Linked DNA regions of Sus scrofa. The protein of the gene in region 1 interacts with the protein of each later gene in a pairwise test. Links are inferred from orthologs where the notes say so. Each region holds a gene or a part of one and is shown in the gene's direction. Other genes may lie near its edges. The genes, in order: ZBTB9, PIN1, DTNB, LASP1, EIF4E2, EHHADH and PIN4.

What was found.
Region 2: the proteins of ZBTB9 (region 1) and PIN1 interact in binary tests that used the Homo sapiens proteins (3 or more experiments, as listed by UniProt). The two-hybrid records come from large-scale screens. The link is inferred for Sus scrofa from reciprocal best matches to the Homo sapiens genes ZBTB9 and PIN1.
Region 3: the proteins of ZBTB9 (region 1) and DTNB interact in binary tests that used the Homo sapiens proteins (3 or more experiments, as listed by UniProt). The two-hybrid records come from large-scale screens. The link is inferred for Sus scrofa from reciprocal best matches to the Homo sapiens genes ZBTB9 and DTNB.
Region 4: the proteins of ZBTB9 (region 1) and LASP1 interact in binary tests that used the Homo sapiens proteins (3 or more experiments, as listed by UniProt). The two-hybrid records come from large-scale screens. The link is inferred for Sus scrofa from reciprocal best matches to the Homo sapiens genes ZBTB9 and LASP1.
Region 5: the proteins of ZBTB9 (region 1) and EIF4E2 interact in binary tests that used the Homo sapiens proteins (3 or more experiments, as listed by UniProt). The two-hybrid records come from large-scale screens. The link is inferred for Sus scrofa from reciprocal best matches to the Homo sapiens genes ZBTB9 and EIF4E2.
Region 6: the proteins of ZBTB9 (region 1) and EHHADH interact in binary tests that used the Homo sapiens proteins (3 or more experiments, as listed by UniProt). The two-hybrid records come from large-scale screens. The link is inferred for Sus scrofa from reciprocal best matches to the Homo sapiens genes ZBTB9 and EHHADH.
Region 7: the proteins of ZBTB9 (region 1) and PIN4 interact in binary tests that used the Homo sapiens proteins (3 or more experiments, as listed by UniProt). The two-hybrid records come from large-scale screens. The link is inferred for Sus scrofa from reciprocal best matches to the Homo sapiens genes ZBTB9 and PIN4.

The regions. Positions count from the first base shown.
Region 1 is NC_010449.5:29,753,125-29,757,643, forward strand, and holds ZBTB9 (zinc finger and BTB domain-containing protein 9), read left to right. Parts: upstream 1-1,604; 5' UTR 1,605-2,040; coding exon 2,041-3,447; 3' UTR 3,448-4,444; downstream 4,445-4,519. UniProt on the Homo sapiens protein: May be involved in transcriptional regulation.
Region 2 is NC_010444.4:68,714,461-68,718,779, forward strand, and holds the start of PIN1 (peptidyl-prolyl cis-trans isomerase NIMA-interacting 1), read left to right. Parts: upstream 1-1,437; 5' UTR 1,438-1,492; coding exon 1,493-1,550; intron 1,551-4,074; coding exon 4,075-4,287; intron 4,288-4,319. UniProt on the Homo sapiens protein: Peptidyl-prolyl cis/trans isomerase (PPIase) that binds to and isomerizes specific phosphorylated Ser/Thr-Pro (pSer/Thr-Pro) motifs.
Region 3 is NC_010445.4:113,473,366-113,477,180, forward strand, and holds the end of DTNB (dystrobrevin beta), read left to right. Parts: intron 1-1,273; coding exon 1,274-1,307; intron 1,308-3,096; coding exon 3,097-3,528; 3' UTR 3,529-3,644; downstream 3,645-3,815.
Region 4 is NC_010454.4:23,225,569-23,229,383, reverse strand, and holds part of LASP1 (LIM and SH3 domain protein 1), read left to right. Parts: intron 1-195; coding exon 196-343; intron 344-751; coding exon 752-855; intron 856-3,706; coding exon 3,707-3,815. UniProt on the Homo sapiens protein: Plays an important role in the regulation of dynamic actin-based, cytoskeletal activities.
Region 5 is NC_010457.5:133,059,805-133,064,276, forward strand, and holds the start of EIF4E2 (eukaryotic translation initiation factor 4E type 2), read left to right. Parts: upstream 1-1,395; 5' UTR 1,396-1,531; intron 1,532-2,990; 5' UTR 2,991-3,047; coding exon 3,048-3,067; intron 3,068-4,472. UniProt on the Homo sapiens protein: Recognizes and binds the 7-methylguanosine-containing mRNA cap during an early step in the initiation. Acts as a repressor of translation initiation.
Region 6 is NC_010455.5:123,103,352-123,106,934, reverse strand, and holds the end of EHHADH (peroxisomal bifunctional enzyme), read left to right. Parts: coding exon 1-995; 3' UTR 996-2,850; downstream 2,851-3,583. UniProt on the Homo sapiens protein: Peroxisomal trifunctional enzyme possessing 2-enoyl-CoA hydratase, 3-hydroxyacyl-CoA dehydrogenase, and delta 3, delta 2-enoyl-CoA isomerase activities. Catalyzes two of the four reactions of the long chain fatty acids peroxisomal beta-oxidation pathway.
Region 7 is NC_010461.5:58,068,531-58,072,845, forward strand, and holds the start of PIN4 (peptidyl-prolyl cis-trans isomerase NIMA-interacting 4), read left to right. Parts: upstream 1-1,227; 5' UTR 1,228-1,333; coding exon 1,334-1,376; intron 1,377-4,089; coding exon 4,090-4,163; intron 4,164-4,315.

The DNA.
Region 1 (4,519 bases):
GTGTTGGGGGCCCCCTTCCATGACTCTGTCCCCGGGGGGGAGGCAGGACTGGGCTGGGCTTCCCTCTCATCCTCCCCCCCCTCCCCAATCCCCTTCCTCCTCCCTCCCGCCAGCTCCACAATTTTTCGGTGTTTCTCTGTACATAGCTCTCTGGCGGGATAGGGGAGGTAGGGTGGATGGGGTTTGGGGGGGCTAGGTCACAGGAGGGAAGAGGCCCCTCCTTGGCATCCCCTTTTCCCCGACTGCCGCCCCCTCCCCAGCCTAGTCCCTCACCCCTTCTTGCGTTTGGTATTGAGACTCTTCCCAGACTCCACTCTTCTTTCTTTTGTATGGACAGTTCCCCTTCAGTCCCATCCCCTACACACCTACACCCAGCCGGGGCCAAATTTATACTTATATAAAAGTTGTAAATATGTGAAATTTTATCCCTGTGCCCTTTCCTCGCTTTCCCAACCTCAGATCCTACCCCTGGACTCCCCCTTCCTCTTCTCTTTGGCTGTTGTAATTATCTGGGGTTTGTACTGTACATATCCGGGGTGTGTGTGTGTGGGCTGGGGGCGACCCCTCTGTACAGAGCTTCCTGGCCCCCTGCCCCCCAGACTTTCCTCCCCACCCACACCCTAAGGGTAGGAGATATTCTTCCTACCTGTTTTATTTTGTTTTCTCGTTCTCCCTCCCCACCCCACCCTACCCCCAGACTACTCTATCCCCCACCACTGCCTCTTTTTCTCCACTCCCAGCCCCATTTCCTTTTTTTCTGGAGTGTGTGGTGAAACAAAAATCATGTTTAATAAACGGAGATTGTTCTTTTATCGCTGCGCTGACTTTCCTAGGCCGGGACCTCTAGGAGGACCAGCAGAGCGATAGGATCTGCTTTTTGAAGGGAATGTTGACAGCCTGGGAGCAACTCTATGTCCCTGCGTGGTGCCACAGGCTTCCCCTAGGATATCCCTATCCCAACCAGCGAGGAGACTTACTGTCTGAGGGAGGGGGCTTTGCACTGGCCCAGCTTACCCAGTCCATCTCCCCTCACCACTGCACCACTTAACCCGAGTAAAGAGGTCAAGGAACATAGCATTCCCTTATAAAAGATGCCAAGTATATGTTTACGCACACCTCAAAACAATCACCTAGAAAGGGAAATTTATTTAACTGCTGGTTAGAATGCTCCCGTGCGTAATGGGGAAAAGACTGTGGTTCCTTGGCGGATCTGGGTTCCAACCCCAGGCCCGCCGCTCGCGATTTCCCCCGAGGAGACTCAGGATTGGCAACACCTATCTCGCAGGTGGCCGGGGGCGAGGGTACAAGGTGATGGGGAGCATTCCCTAGCCCATACTGCGGGTGCCACTTGGTCGCGCCCTCTCAGCACCTGCCGGAGGGGGGCGCTACATCTAATTACCGGAAAGGCTCCCGGGTCGCTCACTCCGTCGGGGTGCGCCGTTCTGCGGCTGGGCCTCCAGACCTGCCGTCCGGGTGGAAGCCGCGGTCTCCCACCCTCATCGCCCTCTCCCGTACAACCAATCAGTGCGAGGCTTGTAGATCGGCGCTCCCCGATTGGCTGCAGCTCCGGCCCCGCCCTCTGCGTCGGCGTCCGGCGGGGAGGCGGCGACTTCCGGTCGGGGCGGCGAGGTGGCTGTAGAGGCGCTCGGGACGCCGCGGGGGCCGCGTGTGTAGCGGCGGGGGCGTGGCGGCGGGAACTTGGCCGGCGCTCGTGGTCTCCCCGGCGGCGACCGCCTGGGAGCCGGGCAGTCTGAGCGCACGAGTGGGAGCGAAGCGGCGGGCGGGAGCCGACCCGGCCGGCGATCCCGGCTCGTGGCCGAAGGATTCATCCCCCCCCAGGCCTTGAGGTTAAAGCCGCGGTCGGTGCTTTGGCGTGGAGACTGTTTTGGCTTCCTCTGCGGGGCAGTGCGGGGGCATTCGGGGAGACGCGGTGCCCCCAGCACGGCTCCCGCGACCCTTCTCTCCTTCCTAGCGTCCGTCCCGCGCCGGCCTGCCCCGTCGCCTGTACGCGACCCTCGGAGATCTCTTACCCACGAGGCCATGGCTGCCTCGACGCCTGTGCCTCCCGGGGCCCCCTCCCCCGCCTGCAACCCTGCCCCGCGGACGATCCAGATCGAGTTCCCCCAGCACAGCTCCTTGCTGCTGGAAGCCCTGAACCGCCACCGGCTGGAGGGGAAGTTCTGTGACGTGTCCCTCCTGGTTCAGGGCCGCGAGCTTCGGGCACACAAAGCAGTGCTGGCGGCTGCCTCTCCTTACTTCCATGACAAGCTGCTTTTGGGGGATGCGCCACGGCTCACTCTGCCCAGTGTCATTGAAGCCGATGCCTTCGAGGGGCTGCTGCAGCTCATTTATTCAGGGCGCCTCCGTCTGCCACTGGATGCCCTCCCAGCCCACCTGCTTGTGGCCAGTGGCCTCCAGATGTGGCAGGTAGTAGATCAGTGCTCAGAAATTCTTAAAGAACTGGAGAACTCAGGTGGTGGACTTTCAGCCCGGGCAGCCACCCCTTTCCACGCACTTCTTTCCACCACAGCCTCTCCAGGAGGCTGGTGCATTCGCTCTTCCTCTTTCCAGACCCCAGCGCAGGCTTCGGCTTCTACTGAGAGCCCCGTCGTAGGGGACGGCAGTGAACTGGGAGAGGTGTTGCAGATTCAAGTGGAGGAAGAGGAGGAGGAGGAAGAAGAGGAGGAAGAGGAGGGCCAGAGGTCGGCAGCATCCTCTCAGACTCCGCAGCCTCCAAGAGCATCAGGGAGCTTTCCCCGCCCTCCTGGATCCCACACGCTGCCCACATCCAGTACTCCACGCAGGCTTCCAGAGGGTGACAGCGCTCTGCTGGAGCCTCCTGCCCCTCACACTGCGCTGCCCCCCAAGATATTCTACATTAAGCAGGAACCCTTTGAGCCCAAGGAGGAGATAGTAGGAGGCGGAACGCAATCTGGAGGATCGAAGGAAGAGACCGGAGTGCTTCCTGCAGGGGACGTGGAAGGGAACGGGGAGCTGGGCTTCTTGCTGCCCTCAGGCGCAGGGTCAACATCGGGAGGAGGAGGTCCATCCTGGAAGCCGGTGGATCTTCATGGGAATGAAATCCTGTCGGGGGGTGCGGGCCCTGGGGGAGCAGGGCAGGCTGTGCATGGGCCTGTGAAGCTGGGGGGGGCACCGCCTGCAGATGGAAAGCGCTTTGGCTGTTTGTGTGGGAAGCGGTTTGCGGTGAAGCCGAAGCGTGACCGGCACATCATGCTGACCTTCAGCCTTCGGCCCTTTGGCTGTGGCGTCTGCAACAAGCGCTTCAAGCTGAAGCACCATCTGACGGAGCACATGAAGACCCACGCAGGAGCCTTGCACGCCTGTCCCCACTGCGGCCGTCGGTTCCGAGTGCATGCCTGTTTCCTTCGCCACCGAGACCTGTGCAAGGGCCAGGGCTGGGCCACTGCTCACTGGACGTACAAGTGACTGCTGAGGCTGTGTGCTGACTCCCAGGACAAGGGAGCCCCTGCTGCTGATGGAGCCCCTGCTTATCCTCACTACCCTGGCACCCCAGTCTGGGGTCTCGTTAATCATGCCCAAAGGGTAGATAATTAATGAGCCTCATGGTCTTGGGTGTGGGCGTCAACCTGGCAGATTTGGAAGTTCCAGTTCCTTCTCTCAGCCCGGGTTCTTGCTGACTATCCTACAGGAAAATGGCTTATAGCCATTCGTAAATTGATCACTTGTCCATGCTATGGTTTCATGCAGGAAATCGTATTTCAAAGTAGTTGATCTGATGAGAGAAGAGTTAGAGCAGAAAACCGTAATGGTAAATGTTTCATTCACGCTCTTTTGAGTTAAAGGAGCTGGTCTCCATCCAGAGATACATTTGATTCAGAGTCCTGGTAATTCAGAGACTAAGTGCTAAGCTCTCCTCCCTCATCATTGCGGCAATTATGTGAGTAGAGTTCTTTTGATATCCTCCTTTTGTCGTATCTTTCCATGAGCTCTTTAGATCCTCAATTGTGTTCTCACCAGTAGGAACTTTTCCAACACCTGTCTCTGTACGTTGTAGTTGAGCACTTTAACCAGTCGAGCATTCTGCGGGTCACTTAGAACAGTCTTTAGTGGAGGGCACTCCCTCTACAGTCTGTGCCTCTTCTCTGCCTTTGACCCCCCTGATCACTCAGGTGATCACGGTGACTGGAATGTGACCAGGGGACTCAGGGGGTGGCCCCTGACCATCTCAGGGGTTGCACCACTGCTCTGAACAAGTGGTCACGGTCAGAGGGACTCAGGGCTGAGATGGCGCATGCTGAAAACTAGAGAATAATTGCACAGCGGGACCATAGCCCCTCTCCTTCCGTCCCACCCACACGCGACAGCCCTTGGTGGACAGGTAGAAGGGTAGATATTGGAGTGGGGAGATTGGTGTAGGTGTCTTAATTTCTTCAAATAAACTTTGCCCTGAAATCAAAGCTGACAGTGAACTGAATTGAGTCATTTATGTGGGAGAGACAGTGAGAACAGAGCTGCAAGGACTTGGATGTATTCCTTA
Region 2 (4,319 bases), on another chromosome or scaffold:
AAACTGCAGTTTTTACACAACTAAGTATGCATACTCTAATAACATTCATACCGTTCAGCAGCTTGCTTTTTAAGGCCTTTTTAAAGCTTTGATATCTTTCTGTAAGTGATGTCATTCTTTCAAATTAACCTTTATTTGCTGAATTTTTTTTTTTTTGGTTTTGTTATGCTTTCATACATTCTATAATTGCTACACTGTACAATGACTTTTTTTTCCACTGAGCAGCATATATCCTTGCTAAGACCAGATACTGCTTTTGAGTGCTTTATATAGATTATTAACTCATTTAATCTTTATATCAAAGGTATTTACGATATGTATTATCTCTTAAACTCATTTCACAGATGGAGAAGCTGAAGTGCAGAGGTTAAGTAATTTGTTCAAGGTAATAGCAAATGGTAGAGCTAGGCTTTGAACCCAAAGCAATCTGACTCCTGAATGCTCTTAACCTACAGCATCCTACCTCTGTAATTTGTCATAGACGTGTTCCTCTGCGTTTCATGTCACTGAGCCTCATTCTTTTCAGCGGTTACGTAAGTGCCTGTGCTATAGATGAACTGTAAGTGAACTCTTCCCTGTTGGTGTTTTGACTCCCATGTTTGTCTCCAGCCCTAGGTCTCCAACCACCTCCTTGGTGTGTCCCACATGTGCCAGACTTAAGTTTAAACTGACTCAAAACTGAGTTCCTCATCTTCCCACCTGCACCTTCCCCCTTGTCCCCATCTGAATGGCAATGCCAACACCTACCAGTCACCCAGGATGGAGACAGGAGCCAGACTGTGAGGGAATAAGTGAAGTAAAGTAGATTCTAAAGGAAGTGGAAGGTGTCTAGGTAAGTAGCATAGGGAAAGAGACTTACACAAAACTAAAAGGAGGTGGGCTAGCTTTGGGCATGTGGAAGGAACAGGTGGGAAGAGGGAGGGTGGAGAAGCCAAATTTAGGCTTCTGGGTTCTTAGCTGTTCATCACCAAGGTAACTGGGTTGCTATGGTAACAGCAAAGGCAGCGTGCCTTTTCCAAGAACCTCCTCTGCGGCGGTTACCCTCACACCAGCCAGGCACTTCCACGTGGGGGCGCCGGCTGGGGGTAGGCTTAAGAAGGCGGGAATTGCTGCGGCATTGGCCAATCGAATGGGCTCTGCAGCGAAGGACGCAAAGGCGGGGTCGAAACTTCTTTGAAGTTCGCCAAAGGGCGTTATTAGGCGGGCTCAGGTCCTTTTCCCACCACTTAGGGGCCGAGGAAAGGGGGAGGGCGGGGCTTGGGTGAGGCCCTCAAGAAGGCCCAGCCCTGGTGAAATATGTGAAGCTCCGCCTATTCCTTCTTCTGCTCAATAGGAAGCCAGAGAGTCAATCCGGACAGTTAGGGTTCCCAATGAGTGTCGTCGCCATGCCCCGGGGCGTGACGGGGCCAGCCAATCGGCGGCGGTGGTGGGCGGGCACGGGCGGCAGAGGCGGTGCGGCGGAGGTGGAGCGGGCTCTGCCGCAGGAGGGAAGATGGCGGACGAAGAGAAACTGCCACCCGGCTGGGAGAAGCGCATGAGCCGCAGCTCAGGTGCAGCGGGGGTCGGGGCTGGGGCGGGGCCGTGTGGGCCCATGGAAGCAGGGCTCTAGCTTGTCCCTCGGACGCGGGCGGCCGCTCGATTCCCGTGGGGTCTTGGCTCCTTCGCGTTGTCCCTGGGTAACGGCCCCGGCCCTCCCCGGGGCTGCGAGCCTGAGGAGCTGGGAACCCGAGGAAATTGAGGCAAGGGACTGGGTCGGAGAGGCCCGGCGCGCTGCCTGGGTGGTAGGGGGACAGTGTACCCGCGGCGCTCCCCCAGGCAATGGCCTTGGTCCTGCCGATCTTGCTGACATCTTTCAGCCTAATGCACCTGACATCCGGCGGGGGTGGGGGGGGATGTCTTTGCACCCTGCTGGGCCCAAGGGGCACCCCTGGGGAAGGACACCCCAACACCATGCTCAGGGCGTGGCCCCAGGGTGTTGCTTGGCTTCGAATCCTAAACCTCCTGCTAACGTGCCTGCCATCCACACCGAATTCTGAGTTTGCTATAATGTGAGAATTCAGGTTATCTGCCTGAGAATAGTCTCTGTGCTCGGAGCCGATTAGGGCTTTTCCCCCATAATAATGTTAATAATAGGTCTTATCTCAGTGCCAAGTATTGTGCTAAGGGTGTTAAGTGTGTACTCTGGCCACAACTCTGAGAGGTAGGGTAGTTAATAACACCCAGTTTGCCGGTGAGGAAACCGAGGCCAGAAAACTTAAGAAACTCGCCCATAGTCGTTCATTTCAGGGGCTGGGGGCTGGGTTAGATACCAGTCTAACTCCAGAGCCCCCTGCCCTTGTTACTGTAAACCTCTGAGATGCAGGCCCACCATTTCACTCCCCTGCCTCCATAGCTCATAATCATCATGGTCACAGTAATAATTCCAATTTATTGAACGCCAGGAGCTCTGTCGAGCACTTTGCACTCATCATGATGGACTCTCCACATTAACCCCATGAAGTGTTATATCTTTATTCTCTCACCTTGCCCTCACTTTTCAGATGAGTACACTCAGGTTCAGGGAGATGGAACCCATTGCCAAGGTTTTAGAGGCATTGTTTGGCTCAGCTCTGGCCCACCCTGCTTGCAGCCCTGTGGCTGGGACCTGCAGCAAAAAAGCTGATGCTCTTCTCAGTTCTGGGCCTCCACTCCTGCCATTTCTGCTCAGCTCAACCCTGACAGTCTTCCTCCTGGGTGACATCCAGCCCTTCACGGTCTTGGGCAGAAGTCCTCCATATAACCCAGACAAACTCGGCCCCTGGAATGACAGCCTATCTCTACTGGGTCCTACTTTAAGTTTCTTTCTTTTTTTTCCTTAGATAAGAAGTAGATTTATTGATACAGTGTGGGCCGTCTCAGAAGGTGAGAGCAGCCTGGAAGATGCACATTCTTTAGACAGAATATTATCTCAAAAGGCCAGAGAGTGGCCTCAGGTTTCTTGTTTGCAGCCCTCACTCCATGCTCCTTAGTCTCTGGGTAACATCTGGCCCCCAGTAATGCTGGCCCCTAGTTCTGCTGCACAGTGCACTCCAGAGGGGAAAAGAGCAGAGTTTTGGCATCTGGCACACCTGAGTACAGATCCTGCTATCTCCCCCACCACACCCCACCCCCGGCTTTTATGCCTGGAGCAGAGTAAATACCCAGGGAAGGTTGCTTAGTTTTGTGGTCTATAACATGGAGATATTAGTAGCTGCCACAGTCTTTTTTTTTTTTTTTTTTTTTTGTCTTTTTAGGGCCATACCCATGGCATATGGAAGTTCCCTGGCTTGGGGTCAAATTGGAGCTACAGCTGCTAGCCTATGCCACAGCCACAGCAATGCTATATCTGACCCACATTTGTGACCTACACCACAGCTCACGGCACCGCTGGATCCTTAACCCACTGAGCGAGGCCAGGGATCAAGTTCTCATGGATGCTAGTCTGCTTCATTAGCGCTGAGCTATGACGGGAACTCCTCCTACACTCTTAATTAAGTGTGCCAGGTGCTGTCCTAAGTACTTTGCAGATGTGAATTCATACAGTCACTCCTTCAGGCAGGTACTGTCCTTATTTTCATTTTATAGGCGAGAAAACCACGGCCCCGGGAAGGTAGATCACATGTGAGGGTGTGGTGGAGCCACAGATTTGGACCGGCCTTGCTGAATGCATGCTTGGAACCATTCTCTGTCCCTGAGGCTTCCTCTCTTCCTAACCTTCAGTTATTTTCCCCCTTGAACTTTTTTTTTTTTTTTTTTTTTTTTTGGTGGTGAAAGAAAGTGTAGCATTTATTGTAAGGCAGTACAAGTAGTCTGAGACTAGCTAGTGCTCAAAAATCCTGCACTCCCCCCTTGACCTTATTAATGACTGAAGTTGTAAGGTGGTCTCATTTGCTTCTTTGGTGTCTGTGTCCCCAGCTAGAATGCTAGCTCCCTAAGGCCTGGTGGCACTGGGGACTTGCTGAATGAAAGGTAGTTCGTCAGCCAGCCCCTGATCATGGCTTCCCAGTGGTGTCCTGTGAGCAGGTCCCAGCTGAATTCCACTTCCACCTCTTCCAGGCCGGGTGTACTACTTCAATCACATCACTAATGCCAGCCAGTGGGAGCGGCCAAGTGGCAACAGCAGTGGCGGCAGCAAAAATGGACAAGGAGAGCCCACCAGGGTCCGCTGTTCGCATCTGCTGGTCAAGCACAGCCAGTCCCGGCGGCCCTCATCCTGGCGGCAGGAGAAGATCACCCGGACTAAGGAGGAGGCTCTGGAGCTGATCAACGGTAAGCAGGGATGGAGACAGGGCTGGGGGGGT
Region 3 (3,815 bases), on another chromosome or scaffold:
AGCTCCGATTAGACCCCTAGCCTGGGAACCTCCATGTGCCCCAGGTACGGCCCTAAAAAGGCAAAAAGACCAAAAAAAACAGATTGTATCATAGACTGAGGTAGCATTAACTACTGTCACCAAGGCATTAGAGAGCACTAACTAGCAACCACAAAGAGAGAGAAGATTTGCGTCTTTGGAGTTGAAACCATACTGACATAATACAAACACCACTTGGTCAGCACCTCGTCAGGCATAGTCTGCTCAATGGGAAAACCATGAGAGCTAAATGGGCACTTTTTGTTTTTTTTTTTTGGCCATGCCTGCCACATGAGAAGTCCCCAAGCCAAGGATCAAACCAAGCCACAGCCATGACCCAAGCCACAGCACTGACAATGCTGAATCCTTAACCTGCCTAGCCACCAGGGAACTCCCAGGTGGGCACTTGTGAAGAATTCATGACCGAGCTGACCTGGCAGCCACATTCACCTCTCCCTCGAGCTGCTCCCTGCCCTCCCCAGCTGTCTGTCCGGCTGCATCCTGACCAATGCTTCTGCTCCACTGGGCACCCTTCCTGCTTTGCATCTGCTCCCTCGCGTGGTCGGTACGGATAACCAAGACTCCGTAGATGAAACATGGGCTAGCCTGCCTTCCCCCCCAGATTACTCCAGAGCCCTAAATTCATCTCAGCTACTCCAGAGCCTCATGTTGTATGCCTGTGTCCTTCAAAATCACCTCCCCCACAGCCTGCCACCACAGTGTCAGGAGCTGTAAATCCGCTTGGCACGCTTCAGGCTGGTGCGTGTCTGGTAGACTGACAGCAGCGGTCCTTGGTGAAAAGAGAGCAGGCTTTGGAGGGTCCAGGCAGTGGTTCAGGATTCCAGGGTGAGCCCGACTATGATTTAGTATCCCAAGCAGATAGGGAAATTGTGCTCTTATCAAAGTTTAAATCATTTTCACCTTGTTCGTGTGCAGAACCCGATGGGCGGAGCCCCCAATAGAACTGCTCCCTAGATTTAAGGTGGATTCCTTTCCATGTTAGTCTTATTTTTTTCCTCTTCCTGAGAGCCACTTGTCTCCAAGGCTGTTTTATGTCAGTTGCAGCTGCTGGTTGTAGGAAGTCTGACTCCCCTGTTTCATACCTGGTCGGGGAAAAGTGGACCAATGAGGAACAAAGGGGAGAGGCCAGGCCAGGCCAGGAGCCCCCAGGGCAGGGAACCCCTAGGAGAAGAGGCGGGGGGTGAGGAGACCCCGGCTGTGACCTCGGTGTGTTGTTTGTGTCTGTTGCACACAGGTTAGCGGAGGAGCCGGGACAGAGAGGAAGCGAGGTGAGTAGTGTCTCTGCCGGCCCCCAGAGCCCCTTCCCCACCCGCCTTTCCTCGGTCATGCTTCTTAAGCCAGAGCCACCCCAGCACATGAGATGCAAGTTGGGGTTTCCTCTAGGAGCCCCGCTGCACCTCTTCTCTTGTACGGCCCTGCTGGTGTACCTGCTTGCCCCAGTTTCCCGGCCGGATCTGTCTTGCACTGCCCTGGGCCTGGGCCGCAGGCAGGCCCTCGTGTCCCCTGTGTCTGCATACAGGCGGCAGACCAGACACTGCTGGCTGGAACAGGCCCTGGGAGCAGGCGCCAGAGCTCACCTCCCAGGACGGCTCTGCCTCCTTGCTCCTGATTTCCCACCGCCACTGTCATGTCATTTCTCTCTGGGGTTCCAAACCACAGCCAGCAAGCACACCCCTGAGGTTCTGTCACCCAGAGTTGGAACCCACCACGTGTTTCTGTCACACAGGATTCATAAAGCTGACCAAGCCATTTCCCATGACGCCTGGCCAAGCTGCACTGTTTCTTCACCTCCTAAAAAATTTTAATAACAGTACAGATTTCCCCGCAGGCCAATGCCCATTGCCATTAGGAATTAATCTTTCGCGTTTTTCCATCTGAGGACCTTAACTCTTAACGGGTCCCAGTTCCAAGGCAGTGCAGCTTTGGCACAGGCGCCCCGGAAGGATGGGAATGGATGGGAATAAGGGGACAGCGCGTCCGTTCAGGAGGAGTTCTTTCCAGGCTAGATGCCTTGATGCGGCCATAAGAGTCTTCCCTCCCTCCCCCATCTCCTGTGTTTAAAGTTAGGCCTCGGTTACAGATCTTACAGGCAGAAAAGCCAGGGCTGCAGCCCATGATCCAGAAAAGGAACTTTCTCAGGCCCTTCTGAGGCGTCTCCCCCTGGAGCAGCCTCCCGCCTTTTCCTGACACCCCCGCCCCCCGGCTGCACCAGGCCCTGGGTTCTGTCCTGCTCGCTCTCTGGGGCCTGCTGTCTCTGAGCCCCCACTGACTCCGGGATCGTGCAGGCTAAGGATGGGCAGCCCCGAGCTGCAGGAATCCCCTCCCTGCCCTGGGAATCCCGGAGCCCCCGAGGCCCCAGGGCAGGCTTTTGCCTGAGCTCACTGCGCATGCGGACAAGGCCCTTCCTGACAGCAGGCCTGGCTGCCTCTGCCAGCAAGCGAGTCCGTAGCTGACTTGCGCTGGGGGAGCCTGCCAGAGCCCCTCTTCCCGGGGCACAGAGGTCCTGGGGGACAAGGAAGCCATCAGGCCCGCCCCCACTTCATGCACACAAGGAAGCTAAGGCCCACTACCCAGGAGCTTGGAGCCAGAACTGGCATCGGAGCTGGAGCTTCTGCTCCTAGTGCTGTCCTCGGACCCCTCAGGAGTTATGAGAAACTCTGCAGCAGCGGAGAATGAAAAGCATAAACGCTCAGGTGGGGCAGTTTCACGGACCCTTGCCTTCTGCTCCTCTGAGGCCGTGAGGCTCAGGCTTTCCCTCCCTCTACGCAGCGCTTTGCGGCACATCCCCGACCTCTTCGCCCTTCTCAGTCACAGTTCTTCCCCTGAGCCTCCCGCATTCCAAAACCTTGCACTGTGAACACCCTTCTTTCTTCCCTGGAAACGCTTCCTGACCCTGTGACCTAAGCAAGCACTCCAAAGACTCGAGGTACCCCCAGAAAAAGGAAGCCCCCTTTCCCTAAAAGGGGGTGTGAGTATTGTCAGCCCTTTGCATGTTGAAAGTTGAAAGGTGCGCATTCCAGCAGCACCAACGTTGCACGTTTGTCTTGTTCCCGGCAGATGTTAGCAGCCTTTGCTCGGAGACCCTCAGCAGTGCCTGTGAGTCACAGTGCGTCTGTCCTGCACAGGCACGGGGGACGTGGAGCGAGCTGGCACCAACACAAGGAAGGCGAGGTCCTCCCCCAGAGGCGAATTCCTGTCCATCTTTCCACGGCACACCTGGACCAGGCCTGCGGGCTGCCAGACGTCACCACCCGCCAGGCAGAGGGGAGCCCGAGCCCCTGGGAAGTGGGAGGGGCGCGCCCCCCTCCTGGCACAGCCCTGCATGAACTAGCATCTTCATCACTCCCTTCCGGGCATGGTCTCATCTCTGCAACAGGGAATTTACTGGAGATTGAAAAGAGAAAAGAAACAGCACGACTCTCCTGTGTGTGTGACCTGATGGAGTTCTTGCTGGCATCTCGCCAGCATGCGCGTTGTCCCCCAGGGTGAGGGCACAAGTTTTCTCCCGACCTTTGACCTTTAAAAGCCAACAGGTTTTCTTCCCTCTGTCGTGCAAAGACAGCTTCAGGCCCTGCTCAGTTCAACAAACGTTCACACCCTGGCCACAGTGCTAAAAATAGCCTCCTTCCTTTCTCTCTCACTGCTTAGGCTTCCGCCCCGGTCGGTGCCGCCGCTCAGCAGCCCAGGCGGGAAGCGGGAGCAGAGAGAGCTCTGCCCTGCAGCCCCTGCTACGGCCTCCTCCCGCCGCGGCTGGAGAGGGGATCCTGGGCCGCAGA
Region 4 (3,815 bases), on another chromosome or scaffold:
ACTTTACAGAAGTGGACGTGGAGGCTCCGCAAGGTTAAGTGCTCGGCCAAGGGCACCCAGCTGGGACACGGCGGTCGAGGACCCGGCTCTCTCTGCCTGGAGACCTCCAGGAGTCTCTCCCATCCCAAGTGGTGTCGGAAGGGAGCTTTGGTGGGTTTGCTGTGGGTCCTTCAGCAGCACTTTCTGCCCCTGCAGATAAAATACCACGAGGAGTTTGAGAAGAGCCGCATGGGCCCCAGCGGGGGTGAGGGCCTGGAGCCCGAGCGCCGAGATGCCCAGGACACCAGCTACCGGCGGCCCCAGGAGCAGCAGCAGCCTCATCACATCCCGACCAGCACCCCAGGTGAGCGCAAGGCCTGCGGGGTCTGAGGACCTGAGGCCAGGCTGGCCACAGGGTGGGCAGGAGGTGAGACACACACACACACACACACACACACACACACACACCCAGGCTGGCCACAGGGTGGGCAGGAGGTGAGACACACACACACACACACACCCAGGTCCCATCCCTACTGAGGGCTGAGGGTCAGGGCCTGTGCTGGACCCCAGTGCAATGGGGGGGCGACACAGCCACTGCTGCAGGGTAGGGACACCAGCAAATGTGCTCAGAGGCAGAAGCCTTGAGAAGTGGGGGTTGGGCAGGGTTGGGGGGCGGTCATAGGCTTCATGCAGGAAGGGAGGGGGCTCTGGGAGGGGCTGGGTTTGGACACTGTCTTAGTGTCTGCGCCTGTCTCCTGCTGTCTTCCAGTTTACCAGCAGCCCCAGCAGCAGCAGGCGGCCCAGTCCTATGGTGGCTACAAGGAGCCTGCAGCCCCAGTTTCCATACAGCGCAGCGCCCCAGGAGGGGGCGGGGTGAGTAGCCCTGGTCGAGGTCAGGGGGAGGGGAGCTGGGGGAGGTGGCTAGGTTTAGGGAAAGGCTTCCTAGACTTGGAAAACCCAGAGGCCCAGCCAGCTTCCCCTGACCTTTGACCCCAGCTCCTCTGACATCTGCAGGTGATAAGGGTCTCAGCCTCTTGAGCAGAGAGGAAGCGCGGAGTAGTGGGCAGAGCCCTGGCCTGGGCCGGGCCACACTCACATCGTATGGCAGCTCCCAGGCTAGGGGTCCCAGGCTACGCCACAGCCACAGCAATGCTGGGTCCGAGCTGTGTCTGACCTACACCACAGCTCCCGGCCATGGCAGATCCTTAACCCACTGAGCAAGGCCAGGGATCGAACCTGCTTCCTCATGGATACTGGTCAGATTCGTTTCAGCTGAGCCACGATGGGAACTCCAGCCAACAGTTTTTAAATTAGAATCACTCACCTGGCGTTTGGCCTCACTGAGGGTCAGGTTCTTTGTGCCTCAGCGCAGAAGGAATTCAGCGAGAGGCAAAGTGACAGGCAAGAAATAGATTTGTTAAGGTAGGACCCTGTGAGAGATGCCAGTGGGCAGGCAACGAGGCTCTGCCCCGAGGATTAGGTGCGCTGCAGTTTTACAATCCAAGGGACTGGGGTGGGAAAAGACTGCCTCTTCATCTTTCAAGTAGTAGCTCCTCCTTGGTATCTGGTAAGCGAGTGTTTGACCCTATAAGCTTAAACTAGAACAGTCTTGGCGCTTATTCACATTTGCACAAGGATTGTCTTTAAATTCCTGCCCTTAGTCTGAGCCTGAATGCAGGTCTCGCTCCATCCTCCACCCAGTGACCTCAGGCCTATCCCTCCCCGCCACTAGTCAGGCAATCCTGCCTTGTTCTCATGGCTTTTTTGAGCAATTATTAACTTACAGTGATCTCCCAACGTTCCTTAGGTTTCTCTATCTATGTTCGGTCCCTTATTGGGACTCCTACAACTACCTGTGTAATGATCCTACTCCAGCCCTTATCAGTATCTGGGGTGTCAGGCGGGCCCAAGGGAGCATCTGAAGGATGAGGTTCCGGATGGACCAGCCAGTCCTTCAGATACTCACTAAGTCCACCCTGAACATGAGGGATTTGGCTCTGAAGAAAGTCCTCCTTCTCGGCCTCTTGGAGCTTACATCCAGTCTGGGAGACAAACATGAAAGCAATAGATAAGCAGAAGTAACGAAAGGTCAGAGATAAGCCGTGAAGAAAAAGACAGCCGGGTGAGGGGAGAGAATGACAGTTCTCAGGAAAGGATTGAGTGGTGGAGAAGGCCAGCAAGTGCAAAGGCCCTGAGGCAGCAGTGTTCTAGGAAAGTTCCAGGATCAGCAGGAGGGCCAGGGTGACTAGGGAGGGGAAGCCGGTGGGGAGGTGAGGTCCCATCCTACAGGGACTTGGAGGCCACAGGAAGGCTTTTGTGAACTGGGGAGCTGTGCAGGGCGAGGGGTTTGACTTGTGTTTTTAAAAGATGGCTCTAGCAGCCGTGTTGAGAAGCAGCAGTAGAAGACGAGGGCAGAAACAGGGAGATAAACTCGGCTGATGCAGCTCTAGGTGGTGGCCAGTTGGCCCGAGAGATTAGAGGCAGAGCTGGTGATAAGGGAAATGGCTGCGGTCACTGCAGTCATTTCCTGAGGGTTGTGACCTCTTAGCCCATAGCCTTCGGGGCTGATGGAGCTGGTTTCTGCTGCTTGATCAAAAGTCTGAATTTTCATGCTAAAGAAGATAAGGGGCCTCTGAAGGATTTAAAGCTGGGAGTGGCATTATCAGGTTTGCATTTTGGAAAGTTCCCCCTGAGATCAAAAATGGATGGACAGGGAGCTCCCGTTGCGGAGCAGCAGAAACGAATCCGACTAGGAACCGTGAGGTTGCGGGTTCGATCTCTGGCCTTACTCAGTGGGTTAAGGATCTGGCGTTGCCATGAGCTGTAGACACGGCTCGGATCTGGTGTTGCTATGGCTGTGGTGTAGGCCGGCAGCAACAGCTCCGATTAGACCCCTCGCCTGGGAACCTCCATGTGCCGCAGGTGCAGCCCTAAAAAGACAAAAAAGTAAAATAAAATAAAATATGGATGGACAGTTGGAAGAGGCAAACCAGAGGCTGGACGGTACAGGCTGAGCTGACCCCCAGAGACAAGTCCATGTCAAGGGCAGCGAGGGTCAGAGGGCGTTCGAATCTTGCCTGCCTCCAAGATCACAGATGGGTTTCATGTGTTTTTCTTGGACATTTCCTAGAGCTGGGGCTTAAACACAAGATTTTTGCTGAAGTTGGAAGGTGGGACCTGATGGTTTTTCTCTCAGGAGTTGTTCTTTGTCTTGAACTTGGGAAGCAGATTCATCAACAGCTTTAAAAAAAGAAAGTCTAGTGTTTATAGTAATACAGATCATTGCAGACCAGGAATATCATTTTTTTCTTTTTTTGGTTTTTGCTTTTTTTATCTGTACCCGCAGGCATGTGGAAATTCCCGGGCCAGGGGTCGAATCCACGCCACAGCAGCGACCTGACTGCCACAGTGTCAATGCCAGGTCCTTAACCCACCGAGCCACCAGGGAACTCCCTGGGTATGTTTTTAAACTACCTGGGGCAGTGTGCATGGGACCTCACCTGCACTCCTGTTCCCAGAGGTGGGGCAGAGCCCTGTTGGTGGCCTGGCCCTTAGCAGATGCCAAATGCATTGTTTGAAAGGTGGCTGCTCTCAGACAGTGAGATACCCAGGTGGGAAAATTCTTGGCAAAGCTCCCAGCTCCCGTTCCCCTGCTCCTCCGGCCTCTGCTCTGGGGTCCCAGAGACTTAGGCCCCTGGGACTGACTGTGCCTCCACCCCTGCAGAAGCGGTACCGCGCCGTGTATGACTACAGTGCCGCCGACGAGGACGAGGTCTCCTTCCAGGACGGGGACACCATTGTCAACGTGCAGCAGATCGACGACGGCTGGATGT
Region 5 (4,472 bases), on another chromosome or scaffold:
TCCTGGCAGAAATAAGCAACGATTAACAACAGCTATCGCTTATGAGGGGCACCTGTCTACCGCCTACCACTGACGGTCCCGTTCAATCCACACGCCAACCTGAAGAGGCGGATACTTTCAGTACAGGATCGCCAGTACCGTGCAGCCGCCCTGGGGGTGGAGTCGGGATCTGTACCAAAGCCATGGGTCCAGAGCCTGCGCCGCCGCCGACTCGGCGCTGTATTTCTCCGAACCTGCCCGGAGAAGGGCTCAGGACGCGCTCCCCTGGGCAGGGCGGGCGGCGGCAACCCAACAGAAACACAGCTCAGGCCCGCAGGCCGCCGGGTCCCCCAAACCCAGCGCCGCGGCGCAGCGGCCGGGGGCCGGCGTCCTGGGATACGCGCTCCCACCTGGCCGGCGCAAAGACGTTCCGCCGCGTCCCGCGCAACCGGAAGTGGCCGGACCCGAGGCGGAGGGACCTGGCGGAGCGGAAGTCACTCCGTGAGGCAGTGGCGACGGCGGCGGCGAGAGGATGAACAACAAGTTCGACGCGTGAGTGCCGCGTGGCCGACCCCCGGGGCCCCTTCCCCCAACCGCTCCCCGCGCCCGCCCCCGCCGGGACCGCGGCAGGCGCAAACTGCGGCACCGGCTCCCCTCCCTCGCTGGGGCTGCGGGCTGGCCCGGCCTGCGCGGCCGGCGGGGAAAGGGGGTTTGGGGACGTGGGATGCCGGGGTGTCGGGGGGTCCCAGGGTCATACGGACCGAGGACGACGTGCGGGGCGGGGGGGGGGAGGAGGTGGCCGTGCCGCCCGGAAGGGGATTTTTGGACGCCCAGCGCGGCGGGTGCAGGTTGCCCGCGGCGTGGAGGGGCGGAGACCTCGGTGGTTTGGGTGTTTCCGCAGCCTGTCTCCCTTGGCTCTGAATCCAGCTTTCCGCACACACTCACGGTGGCCTAGCGAGGTCCCGTCTCCTGTCTGTGTTCTCACTTGCAAAGTGGGCACGGTAACAGAGCCCATGTGGGAGAGTTGCAAAGATGCGGTGAGGTAATGTGGCTGCCGCGCTCAGCGCAGTGGCTGCTCAGTTACGGAATTCTCCTCGTCTTGCTGAGACTCCTTCCTGCTTCCTTTCTCCTCCCCCTCCTTTCCCCGTCTTCCAACACACTCCAAACAAGGGCGCCTCAGTTTCTTGCCCAGCGAGTTCACTTGTTTTTACCCTTCCTTTGCAGCTCTGTGCATATCTCATACGATTTCTAGTTCCAGCATCAAATAATTTGGAGGCGCAGGAAGGAAATGCAGTTATTTTTGCATATTTTCCTCCAGCGATTGTTATCACGGGATAGATTATGTTCTTAGCTGTCTTTTAATCGGCTAGTAACTCTATCTTCTCTTCCCAAGACCTAGATTTCCAGTCCCAGACCCACCAGTCACCAGTTATTTGACGGCAGAAAAGTTACCCGGTTTCTGAGCCACTGTTACCCAAACCACATTAGTGGTTAGTGCCCTGTTGCCACACTGAATGTGATATGGATCAGATCACATCCAGCCGTGCTTAAGGTACTTTGTAAACTGACAGGGAGATATAAATGTAAACTGAAATTACTCTTAGTTGAGGTTGCCACTCACTGTTGCTGATGGGAAATTTTGAGTTTTTCCAGTACAGTGAGTGCTGGTGGATAATTCAGAGGTCCTGGATTCCAGCCCTCCTGGTAACTCTTCAGGCATGTTTCTTGGTTGCTGAGCGGACTCTTGCTGAAACAACATTCCTTTTTGATTTTTTTGGTTTTGGGGTTTATTTAAACAAACAAATGCTTGCTTGCTTGCTTGCTTGTTTAGGGCCATACCCCAGGCATAATGGAAGTTCCCAGGCTAGGGGTCAAATTGGAGCTGTAGCTGCCGGCCTCCACCACAGCCACAGCAATGTGGGACCCGAGCCATGTCCATGAGCTACATCACAGTTCACGGCAATGCCAGATTCTTAACTCACTGAGCAAGGCCAGGGATCGAACCTGTGTCCTCATGGATGCTAGTCAAATTCATTTCGGCTGAGCCACAACAGGCACTCCCCCACACTCTTTTTTGGATGGGACTTGAACCCAGCCAGAACTCAGAATGGGACTTGCATCCACAATCCCCAGCTTAGCGGGGGACTCAAACCCACTTTTATTGTCTTTTTAGGGCCACACCCATGGCATATGGAGGTTCCCAGGCTAGGGTTCAAATTGGAACTGTAGCTGCTGGCCTACACCACAGCCACAGCAACACCAGATCCGAGCCATGTCTGTGACCTACACCACAGTTCACAGGAAGGCCAGATCCATAACCCACTGAGTGAGGCCAGGAATTGAACCTGCATCCTCATGGATGCTAGTCAGATTCATTTCTGACGAGCAACAACAGGAACTCCTCAAACCCACTTTTAATTGAAACCACTCACCTGGTGTCAGGACATACTGAAGCTCAGGTCAAGAGGCAAAATGATAGACAAGGGTGATTTATTACCACCGGATGCTTGTGAGAGAGAAGCGGGCAGGCCAGGGAGTGCAGTCCCAAAGGAAAGAGGGCTCTGTTTTTATAATCAAAAGAAAAAGTGGGTCCTCATTTTTGGATAGATGTCAAGGATCACATCATTAAATCCTCCTCTGGCCCTCTGTGGTCTAACCAGAACTGTTCCCACCGTGGCTCAGCAGGTTACCAACCCAACTAGTATCCATGAGGATGCGGGTTGGATCCCTGGCCCTGCTCAGCAGGTTAAGGATCTGGTGTTGCTGTGAGCTGTGGTGTAGGTCACAGACGTAGCTCAGATCCCGAGTTGCTGTGGCTGTGACCTGCAGCTGCAGCTCCAATTTGATGCCTGGCCTGGGAACGTCCATATTCCACAGATGGGTCCCTAAAAAGCAAAAAAAAAAGAAGAAAAATGGCAATAACGGCTTCCACATGCGTTGCTACTTTTCGTATATTATTTCTGTGTCTGCTAACAACCCTCTAAAGCAGATTTTGTTAACCTCCTTTATAGATAAGGAAAACGAGACTCTCTGAGATTAAATAACTTGCCTGCAACAAGAAGGGCCATATGGTGGGATTCAAACTCAGGTTTGTTTAATGTTGGTTCAAGTACCTCTTGACGAAAACTAACTTTGATCGTTTTTAATTAGTTTTAGTTATTAGCTATTTGTATGCTGAGCCAGATTTTTAAAATATCTGTTTTCTAGCTCTGCAGGAAGCAAAACTGTCTTCCATTTAATTAGCACCTGAGAACAACACCCCTGCCCTTAGTTTTGTTTTTGTTGTTTTTGGTTTTTATGCGAAAGAGTGCAGTTTTTAGGCTACTGCCTTGTATTTGGCCTCTGCACCCTTCACCACATGGCTCCTAAGGATGTGTTCCAGTTTGCCAGAATCCTGATCCAGTGCCTGGATTGAGTACTGTAGTCTAATCCGGTGGGTTTAGATTAAAGATGAGCTCTAGGCTCCCTTTTTGTGAGACTTTCCAGCTTCGTAACCTAAATGCCCCCCCACCCCCAGTCCTGAGCTCCCACTGGCCTTGATCCTGTTCATATGCAGAACCCCAAGAAGCCTTCACTGTACTTCAGTCCCTAAGGTATTGAGCTGGGTTTTTAAATTTAGATGCCATATTTGATTTCGTACCTGTTCTTTCTCCATTAGCTTTGGCTCATCTTTTTCTTCCTTTTTAAACATTTTTTTGGCCTTGTTTGTCGCATGTGGGAGTTCCTGGGCCAGGCATTGAACCCCAGCCACAGTAGTGACAATGCTGAATCCTTAACCACTAGGCCACCGAGGAACTCCAAGCTTTGGCTCATTCTTAACTGTTGTCTGAACAACTTGTTTGATGCGCATCCTCTTCTGCCTTGTGCTGCTTTGATTTTAGAAGTCCATTCGGAGTTCCCATCGTGGCGCAGAGGTTAATGAATCCGACTAGGAACCATGAGGTTGCGGGTTCGGCCCCTGCCCTTGCTCAGTGGGTTAAGGATCTGGCGTTGCCGTGAGCTGTGGTGTGGGTTGCAGACGCGGCTCGGATCCCGAGTTGCTGTGGCTCTGGCGTAGGCCTGTGGCTACAGCTCCGATTCGACCCCTAGCCTGGGAACCTCCATATGCCGCGGGAGCGGCCCAAGAAATAGCAAAAAGACTAAATAAATAAATAAATAAATAATTAAAAAAAAAGAAGTCTATTCACTAAACATGTGTGATTTCTCCCACTGCCTGATGCTGGACGTGTAAAGATGGATTAGACCACGTTCCTACCTGCAGTGAATTGTCTAGTCAGAGTACGGGGGTATACCTGGTGAGCTCATTAGGTGCCACTCAGTCTGGACAGCCTTAGATACTAATTGCTGCCTGAGGCTGTGGAGCACTGATTTTTCCCTGTGGATTTTATCATTGCTCTCATCCAGCCTCAAGCTGGGAGGAATGGCCTCCGGAAGATAGGATGCAAATGACTTGCCCTAAGTATAGACTCGGTGTAGAGTGGTTGCTTAGCTCC
Region 6 (3,583 bases), on another chromosome or scaffold:
TTGCTGAACTGTCAGCCGTGTGCAAGCCACAAGCATTTTTGTGCACCAATACTTCCGCCCTGGACATTGATGAAATTGCTTCTTCCACCAATCGTCCTCACTTAGTCATTGGCACCCACTTCTTCTCACCAGCTCATGTGATGAAGTTGTTAGAGGTTATTCCCAGCCGATACTCTTCCCCCACTACCATTGCCACTGTTATGAATTTATCAAAAAAGATTAAGAAAATTGGAGTAGTTGTAGGCAACTGTTTTGGATTTGTTGGAAATCGAATGTTGAAGCCTTATTATGATCAGACATATTTCTTATTAGAAGATGGCAGTATGCCAGAGGAGATAGATCAGGTGCTGGAAGAGTTTGGTTTCAGAATGGGACCTTTTAGAGTATCTGATCTTGCTGGGTTGGATATAGGTTGGAAATCTCGGAAAGGGCAAGGTCTTACTGGACCTGCATTGCCTCCAGGAACTTCTGCCCGAAAGCGAGGCAACCAGAGGTACTGCCCAGTTCCTGATATGCTCTGTGAATTGGGACGGTTTGGCCAGAAGACAGGTAAGGGTTGGTACCTTTATGATAAGCCATTGGGTAGGATTCACAAACCTGATCCCTGGTTTTCCAAATTTCTGACACAGTACAGAGAAACCCATCACATTGAACCACGTGTCATTAGCCGGGATGAGATCCTTGACCGCTGCTTATATTCACTCATCAATGAAGCATTCCGCATCCTGGAAGATGGGATAGCAGCTACCCCAGAGCACATTGATGTGGTCTATTTACACGGGTATGGATGGCCAAGGCACAGGGGTGGGCCTATGTTCTATGCTTCCACAGTTGGGTTGCCCACAGTGCTAGAGAAGTTGCAGAAATATCACAGGCAGAATCCTGATATTCCCCAACTAGAGCCTTGTGACTATCTGAAAAAACTGGCTTCCCAGGGAAACCCTCCCCTGAAAGAATGGCAAAGCTTGGCAGGACCCCCCAGCAGTAAGTTGTGATTCAGCCTTTTGGGTTTTGACTCACATATTGGCATCAGGTAATGCTTGCTGAATTTCATTGAAATTAAATCCAAGATCCAAAGTAAGAGGGCTCTGAAATACAAAGCAAAAGGAATAATCAGTTGGCTAAACTTCCTCTTTGGGTCTTCTGTCTGATGGTAATTCTAATGTCAGATCTTCAGGAATGTGCTTCTTATGCCTCAGAATCTGTCCCTAACAGATAAATGACTTTAATCACGGGGAATAAACTTGTGTTAACACCATAATAGCTAAGGAGAAAGCCTCAGGAATAAGTTGAGGTTCTCAAATTCTTTGATCTTTGGAGGAATATATCATCAATTGTTAACTGATAAATGCAGCTGAGTCCTAAATTCATTCTGAGACCTTTCAGCCTCACACATGTAGGAAGTCTTATGGACCCTTCACTCAACAGACATTTATTGTGCCCCCCTGAGCATCTTGCACAGCACTCAACAGATCTAGAGTCCAGAGGGGCATTAATCCTGCAAGGAAGCTGGGATAAAGATCAGTTCATAGCCTCAGAGGTGGAGCAGAGATGGTTGGCAGGGTAGAGTCGGCAGTGAGGGTCTCTATGCATGAGTTGAAAAGCTGCCCAAGGAGAGGCAGAGGCGATAACCAGAGACAAGGTATCAACAGCAGAACAGTGTTAATGCTGTAGGCCAAACACAGTTGGGAATTGGTGAGGAAATCACAATCTTCCCACCAGAATGTGGAACTCAGGGTAGTGTGGCAAGTCATGCTCAATAACCATTCCTGTCCAAGGCCCATGTGCATAGTTGTCTTTGCTGTTTGTTCCCAATGTTTGATGGTAATTTCCTCAGGACCCAGGATGTCTACAACCTGGTCAGTCAGTCTTTCTTTCTCTCTCTCTCTCTTTCTTGGCCCATACTTGTGGCATAAGGAAGGTTCCCAGGCAAGGGGTCCAGTCAGAGCTATAGCTGCCAGCCTACGCCACAGCCACAGCAACACTAGATCTGAGCCCCGTCTGCAACCTACACCACAGCTCACTGCAACGCTGGATCCTTAACCCACTGAGCGAGGCCAGGGATTGAACCTGCAACCTCATGGTTACTAGTCTGATTCGTTCCTGCTGCACCACAATGGGAACTTCAACCTGGTCTTTCTTTACTCATATTCAAGAAGGAGTAAGTCGTTGACTTAGTATAAGAAGAGATCTCAGGGATCTAACCTCCTTCGACTATGTGATAGAGTAATGGTGCTAGTTCCTCTGTCATGACAGTTCCGCTGTCACCCCTTTGTTGGGTGTGAAATGGTCACAACTTGACAAATCTAAAATTATTACAGAAAAATTTCTTATAGTTTTGTTACAAGAATTCTTCTCTTTTTACTTTTTGCCTTGTACAGTTAAAAGTTGAGGGGCTGGTCAACATCAAAACTTATACACATGTTTATAGCAGAATTACTCATAATAACCACAAGTTGGAAACAACCCAAATGCCCATCAACTGATGAATGGATAAATAAAATGTAGAATAGCCATACAATAGGATATTATTTAATTATAAAAAGAAATTAAGTGCTCATACATGCTACATAATGAACCTTGCAAATATTATGCTAAGTGAAAAAAACAGGTAAATATATTAAGATAGAAGCAGATTATAGGTTGCCTGAGGCTGGAATGATTGGAGGCTGGGGAGTGATTGGAATGGGTACAGGGTTTCTTTGGGGGTTGATTAAAATGTTCTGAAATTATTGTGGTGATGGTTACTTAACTCTGTGAATCTACTAAAAACCATTGAATTGTAAACCTTAAATGGGTGAACTGTATGGTATGTGAATTATATCTTAATAAAGTTAATAAACAAACAAATGGGCTTAAGTTATTATCCTTCAGGGTGATGTAAATAAACTTTTTTGTAATATTTTCATCAGTTAACCCCAAAAATATTACCAAAAGTTCTGATGGAGAAATCCTGAATGAATATAGTACACATTTTCCATTGTAAAAATCAAACTGAAAAAAAAAAAACTTCTGGAGTGTGATTTGAATTGTAGTTAAATTTAGAATAATTTTGAGATGAGTATTGCTGGATTTTATATAAATTGGTCCTTAAAATTAAAAACATCAAAAGAAAATATTCCTGAAAATAGTAACTGTCTCCAAAGTGATTTAGTTTCAAATTAATGTAAACTTATTTCAAATTAATACACAACATAAATTTTTCTTTAGACCTTGAGTCAATTTTAACTTTGAGGGTTTTTTGAGTTCTTTTTTTTTTTTTTTTTGTCTTTTTGTTGTTGTTGTTGCTATTTCTTGGGCCACTCCCGCGGCATATGGAGGTTCGCAGGCTAGGGGTCCAGTCGGAGCTGTAGCCACCGGCCTACGCCAGAGCCACAGCAACGCGGGATCCGAGCCGCATCTGCAACCTACACCACAGCTCACGGCAACGCCGGATCGTTAACCCACTGAGCAAGGGCAGGGACTGAACCCGCAACCTCATGGTTCCTAGTCGGATTTGTTAACCACTGCGCCACGACGGGAACTCCGTTTTTTGAGTTCTTAAAACTCATTTTCACCCTGTACTCTCCTCTAGATTGGGATT
Region 7 (4,315 bases), on another chromosome or scaffold:
ACTATCAGCAGTTCCATTTTACAGATGATGAAACTGAGCCAAAGAGAAGTCAGGTAACTTCCTCAAGGCCATCTAGGTAGCCAGATGGTGGAGCAGGGATTTGAAGCCAGGTAGTCCAGAATCCACGTTTTTAACTGTATTATGCTTCACTGTGATAGAAATTTTGGAAAATAAGCAGAAACATACACAGGAACTTGTACTAGCACCACTGAGCACACCTTGCTGTAGCCTTCCCGTCTTCCATATGCACATATTATATAGTATACAATATACTTAAAAAGAAAAGAATCATAGGAGTTCCCATCTTGGCTCCGGAGTTAACGAATCTGACAAGCATCCACAAGAATGCAGGTTCAATCCCTGACCTTGCTCAGTGGATTAAGGACCCACTGAACAAGGCCACTTGCCATGAGCTGTGGTAGGTAGGTCGCTGTGGTAGGTAGGTCGCAGATACAGCTCGGATCTTGCGTTGCGGTGGGTTGCTGTGGCGCAGGCCAGGAGCTACAGCTACAATTCGACCCCTAACCTGGGAACCTCCATGTGCCGCGGGGTGCGGCCCTTAAAAAAAAAAATCATATTTTTTAGCTTGGTCTATAACCTTCCTTAAGGCCATTTCTTGTGTCTGTACCCACAGCTTTACACCCATTATTTTTAAAGGGGCCTATCATTTTGTGTTATCGAAACATTATTCATTTAGGCAATGTTCGACATTTAGACTGCTTCCAATTTTTCTCCATGAGAGTTCTGCAAGAGGCAGGGGGGTGATATCCTTTTTTAAAAAACACTTTTTTAACTAAGTCAGCTACAAGCTGCAAAATCAACTTTAAAAACGAAAACCCAAAAGAGACAATCTGCCGCTCGCGTGCAGGATGGGGCAGGACCGAGAAGCAACCGCCGGGTCGCTTCCCGCTTTGCCTTTGTCTGCCCGCCGCGCGAGAATAAGTAGAGCCGGGGCGAGGGACTGCAGAAGCCCGCGGGTACCACTACGCATGCGTGGAAGAGGCGGGCGGGGGAATGAGGGAAGCGGTGCACAAATAAGGTCGAGAGACAGAAGCAGCAAATAGCGCAGAGGCGGGGTTTCCCGTCCCTGCCCAACCTCTAGCTCCGCCCCCCTACCCGGCCCGAGCTTTTTATTGGTCAGATTTGTTTAGCCCCATTGGCCCTAGAGCCAAAGGACCGGGTCTGCCCCAAGATATGCCTGCTTCCTGAGCCGCAGTAAGAATGGCCAATTGCCATGCCGCTTGCAGGCATATGTTTAGGACATACCCGTGGGGCTTGAAGGGGCTTTGTGTGGCAACTAAAGCAACTGAGAGTTCGACGACCAGTTTCGGAGATGCCACCGAAAGGAAAAAGCGCATCGGGAAAAGGGGGGAAAGGTAGAGCAGCCAGAGCAGCTGAGGAGAATGGGGTCGGGTGAAGAGCGAGGGAGCAGACTGGGGATTCCCGGGATCTGGGACGGAGGCAGCGGGTGGCTAGTGACTAGAGCACTGACCAGGAAGTGATATAGTGAGAATTATAGTGATAATTGTTGGAAGCAGTGTGGACTTCTCAGGAAAATTTTTATTTAAAAGCATGGGGGAGTTACCTTGTGGCTCGGCGGGTTAAGAATCAGGAGTTGTCACTACAGCGGCTCGGGTCGCTGCTGTGGCACGTGTTCGATCCTTGGCCTCAGAACTTGCGAATGCCGCGGGGGTGGGGGGCAAAAAATGGGGATTAGATGGTACATAGAAGAGGATTACGAGAAAGTTTGAAATTTTGATTTTGTTTGTTTCTTCACAATGGGCAAAACTTGGGAATGAGGCTGACAGATCCAGTAGGGTTTGAGAGGGAAAGGTACAGAGGCGTGAGACTTAGGAGAAAAACGGTGGATCAGTTATTCTTGGAATAGGAGAGGGTCACAATATGCTTGAGGTCACAGGGAAAGAGATGAAGATGGATGTGATTGTGAAAATTGGAGCCAGAGAGGAGGAGGGGTGGAGTTTCTAGGAGATCAGGTTTAATGACCTCAATATTTTAATAAAGTGGAAGGTAGGGGTAGTTTTTAAGACTCAGGAGGCAGGGACGGAGTAGGGGTCTTGAAGAGAGTGGTAAAGGTTTGAAATTGTCGTTGGGATCATGGGAGAGGGGATGAAACATTAATAAAAGTGTCGCCTTCAGGGCTGAGAGCCTGAATAAGACTGAAGGCCATGACTTTGTAGAGGACATAGCACAGTCATGATTTACTGAGTACCATATAACTGACACAATACAGGACTGAAAAGAGCTAGGTTGTAGCCTTGAGCCAAAGTTAAGATTTTGTTGGACAATGATAACAGAAGAAGAGCAATGTAAGGGAATTACAAGTACCAGTGGAAACGCAGTTCAGATGATCAAGCATGGGATCCAGAGTGGGAAGGGAAGGAGAAGTCTGTTAGTCTAGGGGAACATAGCAGGATAAAGGGATTGAGTGGGAGAGTGGTTTTTGTGGAATTAAAGGGCCTGCGTTGTGGGAATGAGGCATGAGAAAGCTTGGAAGGACAGGAAATTGAGCCAAAGACTGAACCACTAGTTCTGAGTGGCACAGTTCCATCGTGTGCCCCTGGGAACAGGCAGCTTGGAGTAGAAGGCATGGACATTTGGGATGGAGCTCCAGAAGTGCGAGGTTAGGCTGTTGGATGATTCCTCTGCATAGGTGGTAAGGTCATCTAAACTCATGGCAGGAGTGAGGGTGGAATGGAAGCTTGAAGTTGGTGCCAGAGTCCTCAGTCAGAGCCAGTGAGCTGGCCGTCAGAAGATGATAGCATCGAGTAGGGGAGAGGATGGGATAACTGGAAGGCATTATTGTTCTAGTGTCAGTGTACAGCAGACTCACTTAAGAATTTGATGTAATAAAACTCCTGTGGCCGTAACATTCTCCTAGCCATTTGGTGGTCAGAATTTTGGGTTTTCAGTTTGGTTGAACATTTATTGAACAACTGTTGTATGCTAGGCAGTGGAGATCCAAGACAAGTAAGATGGAGAGTCCTGAATAAAACTTTTCAATGGCTCCCTATTACTCCTAGGATCAATTCCAATTTCCTTAATGGGGCCCAAAGACCCGCATACCCTAACCCCCAGCCACCTCCCCTGGGCTCATCTCACCCACTCCCACCTCAGATTTGGCTTCATCCATAGTCTTCTACACATACTGCACTGTTCCCCCACCCTGAAGCGTCTCCCCGCCTTTGTTCTTTCTTTGCCTGGTCAGCTCCTACTCATCCAAGAAAACTTCCCTGACTGGCTAAAATATCCCTCTTTGCTTCCACAGCCACCTGTCTGTAGAGCATACCTCATTCTCCTGAAGAGATCTGCTTTGCATAACTTTATATAACCATCTTCCCAGTAGTATATGAGCTCCCTGAGCAAGGGAGCTTGTTCATCTTTATGTCTTTGCCTGGAACTTAGTTACTTAGGAAATGTTTATTGAACTGAACACTTAATCCAACAATAGTTCTTAGGAACATCAGCCTCCAACAGTAAGTATGCTGCCATCAGTGCAGAAGTTGACATAGTAGCAAAATGACACAGTAGTAAAATGTAAAATGCTGCCAGTGGTTGTTAATCTGAATATCAGTAACTTTTCTTTGGAAGGTATCAATAGGCAATGTAGTAGACTCCAAGAGTCTGGACATGAATGTATTGTTTATCCAAATCTGGATGGTGGGAAATTTGATCTTTAAAATACATTCTTGGAGATTCTACTTATTGGAATTGTGAGTACTCAAATACATGGTTGCAGTGCTTATTAGAAATCTCCCAAGAGCTCAGTGGTTTGCCCTTAGAGGGCAGGATTTCAAAGTGGATGCAAGGAATCCAGGCTGGGCTTTAGGTGCTCCCATTCAACTACAGCACACTTACTTGTGTATCCATTTTCTGTGAAGGGTTTATGTAGGGCACAAATTTCCTGTTTGAAGAGAGGTGAATCATAGATTAATTTAGCTTCATGAAGTAAAGTGTCTACTGAGTTCCCTTTTGAAGCTTAGTGCTATGGTGGAAGTATCAACTCCTGTTATGTTGAACTTCTCTGTAAATAACAAGTTTAAATGAGTACCTGTCATCTCTTCTCTAAAGGAAAAGTAGCCTCTGGGAGTGACAGTGCTGACAAAAAGCCTCAGGGCCCCAAAGGTGGTGGCAATGCAGTAAAGGTGAGTCACTTGTTCTTTTTTTTCATGTTAAATACAAATAACATATATACCTGGTTATTTTGGTACACATAAAAGGAAAAGGCAGTTTACTTATTCTAAGAGGCTAGCCTAATACTGATGTAAGATCAAGATAACACAAAAATGGAAAATAT